2 linked regions of the Caenorhabditis elegans genome follow. The protein of the gene in region 2 purifies or fractionates together with the protein of the main gene of each other region. This does not show direct contact. Each region holds a gene or a part of one and is shown on either strand. Other genes may lie near its edges.

Region 1 (4,051 bases), on a different chromosome or scaffold from region 2:
ATGACATAATGGCGGAGTAAAAGTCGAGAACTTCCTCAAAAAGATTTTCCATTTTAATCCCATTTGTCAACAGTAAAAATACACAATTACTCCCACGATATTTATTTTTGAAATGGGTTAACTATTAGTTTAATTATTGATATCTTTCCCTCAACCTGTTCTATCAATTGTTGATGCAGTTTTTATTCAGTGTTGCAAGGTTGATGGTTTATTTCTGTTGGGACAGAAAAAGAAGAAGTAAAATAACTAGTTCGATTTTAAATTCTCGTGGTGTTTGGAAGTTTGCAACAATTTTAAAGTGTTAGATGACTCACAGGGTTTCAGTTTTAATAGATTTTTTAGTAAGTTTGATGGTGGGCGTCATTGGAAATTTTTTTAATTTATTCTATTCAGAAAATTTTAAAATTTTGGAAGTTGGTCAAAACAAAATCTAGTTTCATATTTTGATCATGTTTTAATAATTTGTACTCAAGCATCATATGGATTAAAACCTGTAGAAATGCTCGAAACAATTTGCAGAATGATTCACTCCAAAATCTCATTGATTAGAAGTCTCCCAGCCGTCATCATCATCTCTGTGCCGACATATGTTTTACTGAGAGAAGACCTAAAAAAGAGAAAAAGATTACGAAATAGGGAACGGTGATGAGAAAATAGTGTATAAGAATAAGAGATTTAAAGAAAAGGGCGTTGCCTTCTTCTATCCATTTTTTCTACGTCCGCCCGCGCAATGTTCATAGAATTAGAGACAGAGAATCAATGAGAAAATTGAGAAAAAACTGTTTGCAAATAGACATAGAGACATACAGTCATCGGGTTTCTTCTACCATTTTTCTTCTTGTTCTCGAAATTTTCGTTCACTTTTTTCTGGATTACACTAACTATTGGTTGTGGAATTTACAAAAGACTAGGCCTAACCCTGGTACTTTTAACTGATTTAAAAAAATGTATCAATACGCTTATTCAAGTTAAACATGTTTCAGTTTGTTGGTATACGTGTTCGAACTTTCAAACTAAAGTTTATAAAGATTAAAAGCTTTAGAAATCAACTCATATATTTTGTAATAAGTTGCAGTAATTACTTAAGAGTTACTTAAAAATTTAATTGACGGAAGTCAATTAAATTTTATAATGCCCAAGTTATTTATCAAGAATATTTATTTTTGGCAGCTCACATCTCCGTAATTTTTGAGTGAATTGAAAAATTCTTGTATCAGATTCAAATTTAAAATATTATTTTTTAGTTTTTTAGATTGATTATGAACAGTTTCAACCTGTTTAATTTCAATTTCTCAAGATTTTTGAACATTTCCTAACTATAACAAACAATTTGCCTCATTTCTCCAACCACACCCTACTTCACTCCCATCCTTCATCGCCTCATAAAAGGAAATGCAAGGATCTTTTTATTTGGATGGTTTCAAATTGAAATTTGAAATTGAAAATGGAAATTCTTTTTAAATTGTAATTTTTAATTTGAATACTCTCTTTTTTCTGTGCCACCCGTTCTGTCTGATGTTCCATCATATTTATTTGGAACTATTCTTGTTCGTTCTCTTGACCTGTTTTTCATTTCCGCTTTTTATTTATTTTTATAATTGAAATTTTAAAACAAAACTTAATTTTCAGAATGCCCGAGTACATCAAGCAAGTTGCAATCACTGGGGACATTTCCAGAATAGGAACTGATGTATGTTTACTTTTTTTTAAAACAAGATATGAATTCTAGTAATTTAATTTTAAATGTGATTATTTAAGATTTGATGCATCAAATTAAAAATATATTTTCAGGATGACCTGATCCGAGCCTGGTGCTCCGAAGTGGCCAAGGAAATTTATGAGCAAAAGTGTGAATTTGCTGTTGTCCACGTTCAAGGTCTTCACTCGGCTGAAAATCCAGATTATGCTGCAAGAGTTATTTGTGGATGGTAAGAATTTTTTTCTTGAAAATTTGAGAGAGTTTATGACTAAAAATATTTCCAGCATCACTGATAATCCAGAAATCTACAGAGCTTTTGATAGCTCTATGGCATTTTTTGATACCAAATTAACTGTATGTTACACTTTTAAAAATATTTGGAAATTCATTAAATAAGTTCAGGGTCTTGGAAACCTGTATCTTTTCAAGAATCACTCAGATATACAGTACTACGATAGATTTTCTTCAACTGGGTACATTAATGTTCGTTCTGGGCATCAACATTCAATTGGTTAGTTTTTTTTTTTGGGATTTTCGTGTACTCTGATAACGTAACAAAGGTATTTACATTTCGTAAATTTATTTCATGTTCTAGTAAATTTTGTACCTTGACAGGTTAGTCATTTTGAACTACTCTATTCTTAAATTCCCCTAAATGTACAAAAACATGTGATCTTGTTTCCAAAAAATTTCAGGTTCCAATGAATGTGATGGATTCATTCAGAATACATTTGGACAAAACTACACTTTTAGAAGAGATTTTTATGTAAGTATTTCTAACTTTAAAATTAGTATTTTCAATTAAAAAACCCTGTTTCAGAATGATGATGGAACTCGTGATTTGGCAAATCAAAGAACTGGATTTCTATTAGCCAGATTTCGAATTCACGGAAAAGAGTTAACATTTGTTAATCTAAATCTGCACTCTGTTCCATTCGAAGATGTAAATGAGATTGCAACAAAGAATTCCAGTATTACAAAAGCAGCATCAAAAAGGGAACAACAAATTGAAATGCTTTTAAAAGAGTAATTATATTTAGCTATTAATAAACGTTTGAATGAACAAGAATTTCAGATTGGATGAAGAAGGTCTTCGAAACGATGCAATCCTTGTCGCTGGATCCTTCAATTCTCAACTCCATGAAACTGATCTTTTGAATTATTTGGCAAAAACTCAATTGGTTCAAACTGTTGCAAAGAAAGATGAAGATGGAAATGTTGAATCAATTGAGCACGTTGATCGGCATGGAAGAAGAACAACCACTGTTGAGAGAACTCGATTTGATCTACATTCAATTCATGATTGGTTCTTCCGATTGGGAAGAGGACAAATGGTTAAAAGATATAATGGAGAATTGGCTAATATTGCATTCAAAGGAAATTTGAAAGAGGAGACATGCTTCTTCCAGGTTTGATCTGAAAACTTTGAGTTTGCCTAGTCTTCAGCTTTCAGCCTTCTCGTCATTACGAGCTTAACGACAGTGGGAAAGAAGAGTTTCAGAGGACTCTTTGCCCAGCATGGAGTGACAGAATTTTGTATAACGATCGGATGAATGAACTTTTCAAGCACGTAAGTTATCAGCTTGTTTTTTTTTTTGCTGCATCGTTATATTTTCAGGATTCTTTCTGTGCATCTGGACTGTACTATGGTCTTGTTGCTGAAGAGAAGTTTGTTGGTCCTCACAAGCCAGTCGCGCTTCATGCTTCCATTTGCTTGAAATAAAATTTATATTTTCACTGTCTTCATCTATATTTGTTTTTTGATTTTGAATTTAATTGAAATTTGTCGGCGCTAATAAACTTTTTTTTAGATCGATTCGCTTTTTTGTTGTTAATTTTTGAGAGTTACATCAATTTTTAAATAATTTTCAGACTATCAATTAGTCTACACACTAAAAAAGTTTCGGAAGTCCGCTAATATTTTCAGACACGTATAATAATTCAAGTTTTGAAGAGTTTCAGAAAAAATAAATGTCTTTAAGAAAAAAATATTTTTCTAAAACACTACATGTTTGACTCAGTTTTTAGTTATCTCAATATTCTTTCAAACATCAGTTTAAAATTTTTTATTAAAAGTAACTTCAATTTAAAGTTCTCAAAAATGAGTGCAGTGGTCAGAGAGTGAGGTTTCAGTGTGTTATTACCTAGGGGGCGGGGCGCGGGAAGAGTCGATTTGCACGTGATGCCAGGCCATTACTGTTTGATCTACAAAAATGCGGGAATTTGTCTTCAAAAAAAAAGTGACTCAGCACGTTCTTAACCATGCAAAATCAGTTGAGAACTCTGTGTCTCTTCTCCCGCATTTTTTTGTAGATCTCCGTAGTTCAAGCCGAAATGAGACACTCTGACACC
Region 2 (4,658 bases):
AGAAGATGAGGAAATCGAAAAAAAAAACGCAAGGGATGTTCACTGCGCGGGGCGCACGGAAATTGCGTGCGCAACGATGAGACGCAGCGCACACAGAAGTGCGCGACTTGCCGTTTCGTTCCACCACAGCGGCCGCATATAAGCACTCGGGGGCAACGGCAAATGACTGTGTAGGCTTCTTCTTCTTATTCTTTTGACACTTCTGACATTTTTCATTTCCCTTCTTCACCTTTGATTCTTTGTTCGAATATTCTAGAAAATTCATAGAATTTCAGATGGACGAGAAGAGCAAGGGATCGTTGCGAAGTGTGGCGTTCGTCGCCGTCACATTCTCCACAGTCGCAGTGACTGCTGTGCTTATCGCTTTCCCATTGGTATTCCACTATGTGCAGACCCTTCAAGCTTCCGTACAAGGAGAGGTTGAGTACTGCAAGTCCCGATCTCGGGATATGTGGCGTGAGATGGTCGAGGTTGCACCGGAAGGTGCTGATGATCCACTTGATGTTCTGCTCAGAGCTACACGTCAAGCTGATGCTCAATGCTGCACATGCCAACAGGGACCACCAGGACCAGATGGAGAGCCAGGAACTCCTGGAAAAGACGGAGAACCAGGTCAAGGACCAGGAGAGCCAGGACCACCAGGACCTGATGCCGAGCTTCATGATCGAATTCTCCCGGTTCCACCACAATGCCCATGCACTGCTGCTCCAGGACTTGGAGGACCACCAGGACCACCAGGACAAGATGGAATTCCAGGTAACCCGGGAAGAAACGGAGAGGATGGAGCTCCAGGACCACAAGGACCATCCGGACCACCGGGACCACCTGGGCAACCAGGACAGCCTGGACAACGCGGACCACCAGGAGAGCCTGGAGCACTTCTTCCAGGAGGAGACGCTCCACCAGGCCCATCCGGACCACCAGGACGGCCAGGAGCACCAGGACAGCCAGGAAAGGCCGGATCTCCAGGACAAGACGGAAGCAACGGAGACGCCGGAGTTGCTGGAGAGCCAGGTAAATTATCATGATAAGCTAGGCTTCTTCTTCTTCTTCTAAACGTTAAATTTGTTTCAGGACAACGCGGACCACCAGGACCACCAGGACAAGCCGGAACTCCAGGATCGCCAGGAGACGCCGGATCTCCAGGATCGTGCGAGCACTGCCCACCAGCACGTCTTGCTCCAGGATATTAGAAGCTTATGCGAGTCTGTCTGTACATTTTCGAATAAACTATATTATTTTTTCAATCGATATGTCGTAGTTGTCCATTTAATAAAAAAAAGGGTGAAGAGGCTTGTGAAGCACGGTGAGCTCAGGTATCGCCAGGAACCTCTGGAAAGAGAACTAGGTCAAGAACCAGGAGAGCACCGTGAGCTTCTGTTGGAGGTATTGGGGGAGCACAGGAGAGCCTGGAGTGCTTCTTCCAGAAGGAGACACTCCAGCAAACCCAACTAGGCCATCAAGACGGACAGGAGGCTCACGGCATCCTGGAAAGGGCAGATCTCCAGGACAAGACGGAAGAAGTTGAGACGTCGGAGCACGTGGTGCCAGGCTGCCCCGTTTTGGTTTGATCTACCGAGATCTACAAAAAATGCGGGAGTCGAGACGAAGAATTTTCAGCTGACGTCACATTTTTTGGGGAAAAAATTGCCGCATTTTTTGTAGGTCAAACCGTAATGGGACAGCGGACAGACACCACGTACGGAGTTGCTGGAGAGCAGGGTGAGCCAAAGATTTCGTTTAAAAATCCAGAATGACGAGCTTTTTATTGGACGATCTTCTGAATATGTTCAGCCAGGAACCTCTGGAAAGACGGACTTCCAGGTGCTGGGAAGAAGGACGGAGCTTCAGGATCACAAGGATCATCCGGACCATCGGCAGAGCCTGGAGCACTTCTCCCAGGAGGAGGGCAAGCCGAATACCAGGATTGTGCGAGCACTGCCCACCAGCGAGCTCAGGGACCGCCAGGAACCATAGAAAAGTCGGAGAATCAGGTGATCCAGGATCACCAGGACGAGCTTCGTGATTGAACTCTCCCGATTCCGCCATAATGCCCGTGAGCTTCTGGACCACAGGAGAGCCTGGAGAACTTCTTCCAGAAGGAAACGCTCCAGCAAGCCCACCAGGACATCCGGGAAAGAGCAGATCTCCAGGACAAGACGGAAGCAATTGAGACGCCGGAGTTCGATCTTCTGAACAGGATCCGCCAGGAACCTCTGGAAAGACGGAATTCCAGGTACCGGGAAGAAGGTCGGAGCTTCAGGATCACAAGGATCATTCGGACCATCGGCAGAGCCAGGTACTCCGAGTAGAAGCTTGGTCAGATCGACAATGCGGATCACAAGGACAAGCCGAATCCGAGAATCCTGCGAGAACTGTCCACCATATCATTTTCCAACATACCCGCACATTTTCCAATAAACTATTACCTTTTTCAAAACTATATCAAGTGAAAGCCCATCCATATACTCCATACAAATTGATATATCGTTATTGTCCACAAAAGCCCCGTAGAATCCAACAATGAATGGACTATTGCACTTGTGAAGTACGGCGAGCTCTTTGACGATCTGTTGTCGGACTGACGGCTTGATCTCGAGGTGTACAAGCTTCCGAGCCATAATTACACCGGTTTTTCGATGAACACACTGAAAAATTGAACTTTTTATTTCCAAATTCCAGCTTATTTCAGCAAATTCCAACCTTATTAACAACTCCTCCATTTCCATGGCCAAGTTCTCCTTCAGTCTGTAGCATATCCTCACTCAACTCCTTGATGCCCTCCTTGACCTGCAAGAATTCGCTGAGCCGTTGAGTTTGTGGCTCCGTGAGCCCGAGCTTTTTCAGCTGTTCTTCTAGTGGGACTGTCGCGGTGGCTTCTTCCTGGAAATTTATATTTTTTAAATTCAATATTTAAAAATTAAAAATAATTTTAAATTATTACCGCCGTCGCCTCGCCACTTTCACTTTGTTCATTTACTGTCGGTGGTAGACTGAGTCCCAACGGATTACGCCGTTTTCCGCTCGACATTATCTGGAAAATAGTTGGATTTTATTTTAATCGAGAGGTTTTTTTTAGAAAAAAAACGAGGAAAATTCCAAGAAAACTTATGAAAAACTGGGGAAAATGGGAAAATTTAGCGATTTTTGGAGTCTAATTCAGAAAATACTCAGAACTATTTAATTTTCTAAAAATTAGTCAGGAAATATTAAAAATATTTAGTTTCTTTGGTAATTTTAACTGAAAGCAGAGTTTTTTTTCAGAAATCAAAGGTGGAGTACCGAAATTTGAGACTTTGTTTTTTTAGACGCAAGTTGGTCCAAAACTACCGAATTTCGTAATGAAACATTCTGAAAATTTCTCAAAAAAAAGTTATGACGGTCCAAAGTTCGGCAAAATAAGGCCAACTTTCAGCTAAAATCAAAATTTTTTCCAACTTCTCGGTGTCGCAACGTCTGGAACCTAATTTTTATTTATTCATCACTTTTTAATAAATATTGTGGTCTTTGATTGGGCGTTTATTCGTTGTTTTAAGCATATTTCTGGCCTTTGGGGCACAAATAAAAGTTACATTTTGTGCCCACTGACCATAAATGTACTTAAAACAACGAATAAAAGCCTAATAAAAGACCGCAATATTTATTAAAAAGTGATAAATAAATAAAAATTGGGTTCCAGACGTTGGGCCTTAATTTTGTGGGCCTTAATTTGCCGAACTTTGAACCGCCATAACTTTTTTTTGAGAAATTTTCGAAACGTTTCATTACGAAATTCGGTAGTTTTGGACCAATTTGGGTCTAAAAAAGCAAAGATTCGAATTTCGGTACTTCACCTTTAAAGAGGGTTTTCACTTAAATATACTCAGAATGACCTAAAATTACATATTTTTAAAAAATTCCAAAACTGTTTTTTGGCGTGTTTTTGAAGCAAAAATTGCTAAAATCCTACATTTTGTCAACTTTTCCTTGTCGCAGTGTTTTTTCAATGCTTGAGACCATTTTTGGGTGGCAAAAAGCCAAAAATTCTAAAAAAATGAAGATAATTCAATGAAAACTGGATTTTTAGCCGCTGATTTTAGCAAATTTTGGTTTTTTTTTTTCGAATTTTGATTCGCCATACACATTTTGGAATTTTTTCGAGCTATTTCGAGCCAATTTGAGTGAAAACCTATACAATTATAAATTTCCACGTGATTTTAGCCGTCTGAAAAAAGGGAAAATAAAAAAAATTTCGCGATTAATTTCTTCCGAAACAACTAGTTTTCTCTGAAATCGAGGCAAAAACGTGATGAATTGATTGATGAATATAACCTGTCGTGAAGTGGCGATTTTTGAGAACAGGTGAAAAAAAAGCACGGCTCTCTAGCTTATTGACTGCTTTTCCGGACTGCGAGAGCTCGGTCAAGCGAGAAGAAAAGAGAAGAAGGCGATGAGAGATGCGGGGAGCCGCTGCTGGAGCAAGAAAAAAGAGAGCAGAAAAAGCGCCTAAATAATTAAAAATTTAATCGAAATTGAGGAGGAGAGGAAATTTGAGAGGGGGATGACGGCTCTTTTGTTGCTTTTTTCTTCGAGAAAATGTGATTTTTATTGAGATTTCAGTGGATCCGTGCCAAAAACGGGGATTTTTGACCTGCTAATCGGATAATATAAGTCTCGAT

Evidence for each region. The genes of interacting proteins can lie anywhere in the genome.
Region 1: the proteins of mek-2 (region 2) and C01B10.3 fractionate together in Caenorhabditis elegans (co-fractionation; one large-scale study listed by BioGRID). This does not show direct contact.

Annotation. Positions count from the first base shown.
Region 1 is NC_003282.8:6,618,931-6,622,981, reverse strand, and holds C01B10.3 (Endonuclease/exonuclease/phosphatase family protein), read left to right. Parts: upstream 1-1,629; 5' UTR 1,630-1,630; coding exon 1,631-1,690; intron 1,691-1,791; coding exon 1,792-1,928; intron 1,929-1,983; coding exon 1,984-2,053; intron 2,054-2,101; coding exon 2,102-2,210; intron 2,211-2,394; coding exon 2,395-2,465; intron 2,466-2,519; coding exon 2,520-2,725; intron 2,726-2,774; coding exon 2,775-3,108; intron 3,109-3,152; coding exon 3,153-3,269; intron 3,270-3,317; coding exon 3,318-3,422; 3' UTR 3,423-3,514; downstream 3,515-4,051.
Region 2 is NC_003279.8:3,010,415-3,015,072, forward strand, and holds the start of mek-2 (Dual specificity mitogen-activated protein kinase kinase mek-2), read right to left. Parts: upstream 3,035-4,658; 5' UTR 3,032-3,034; coding exon 2,945-3,031; intron 2,884-2,944; coding exon 2,704-2,883; intron 2,649-2,703; coding exon 2,430-2,648; intron 1,252-2,429; exon of another isoform or gene 1,194-1,251; coding exon of another isoform or gene 1,075-1,193; intron 1,015-1,074; coding exon of another isoform or gene 276-1,014; exon of another isoform or gene 270-275; intron 205-269; exon of another isoform or gene 79-204; intron 1-78. Other genes in the region: col-48 (Nematode cuticle collagen N-terminal domain-containing protein), read left to right, coding at 276-1,014, 1,075-1,193. UniProt on the Caenorhabditis elegans protein: Functions in the let-60 Ras signaling pathway; acts downstream of lin-45 raf kinase, but before the sur-1/mpk-1 gene product in controlling vulval cell differentiation. Required for progression of developing oocytes through the pachytene stage.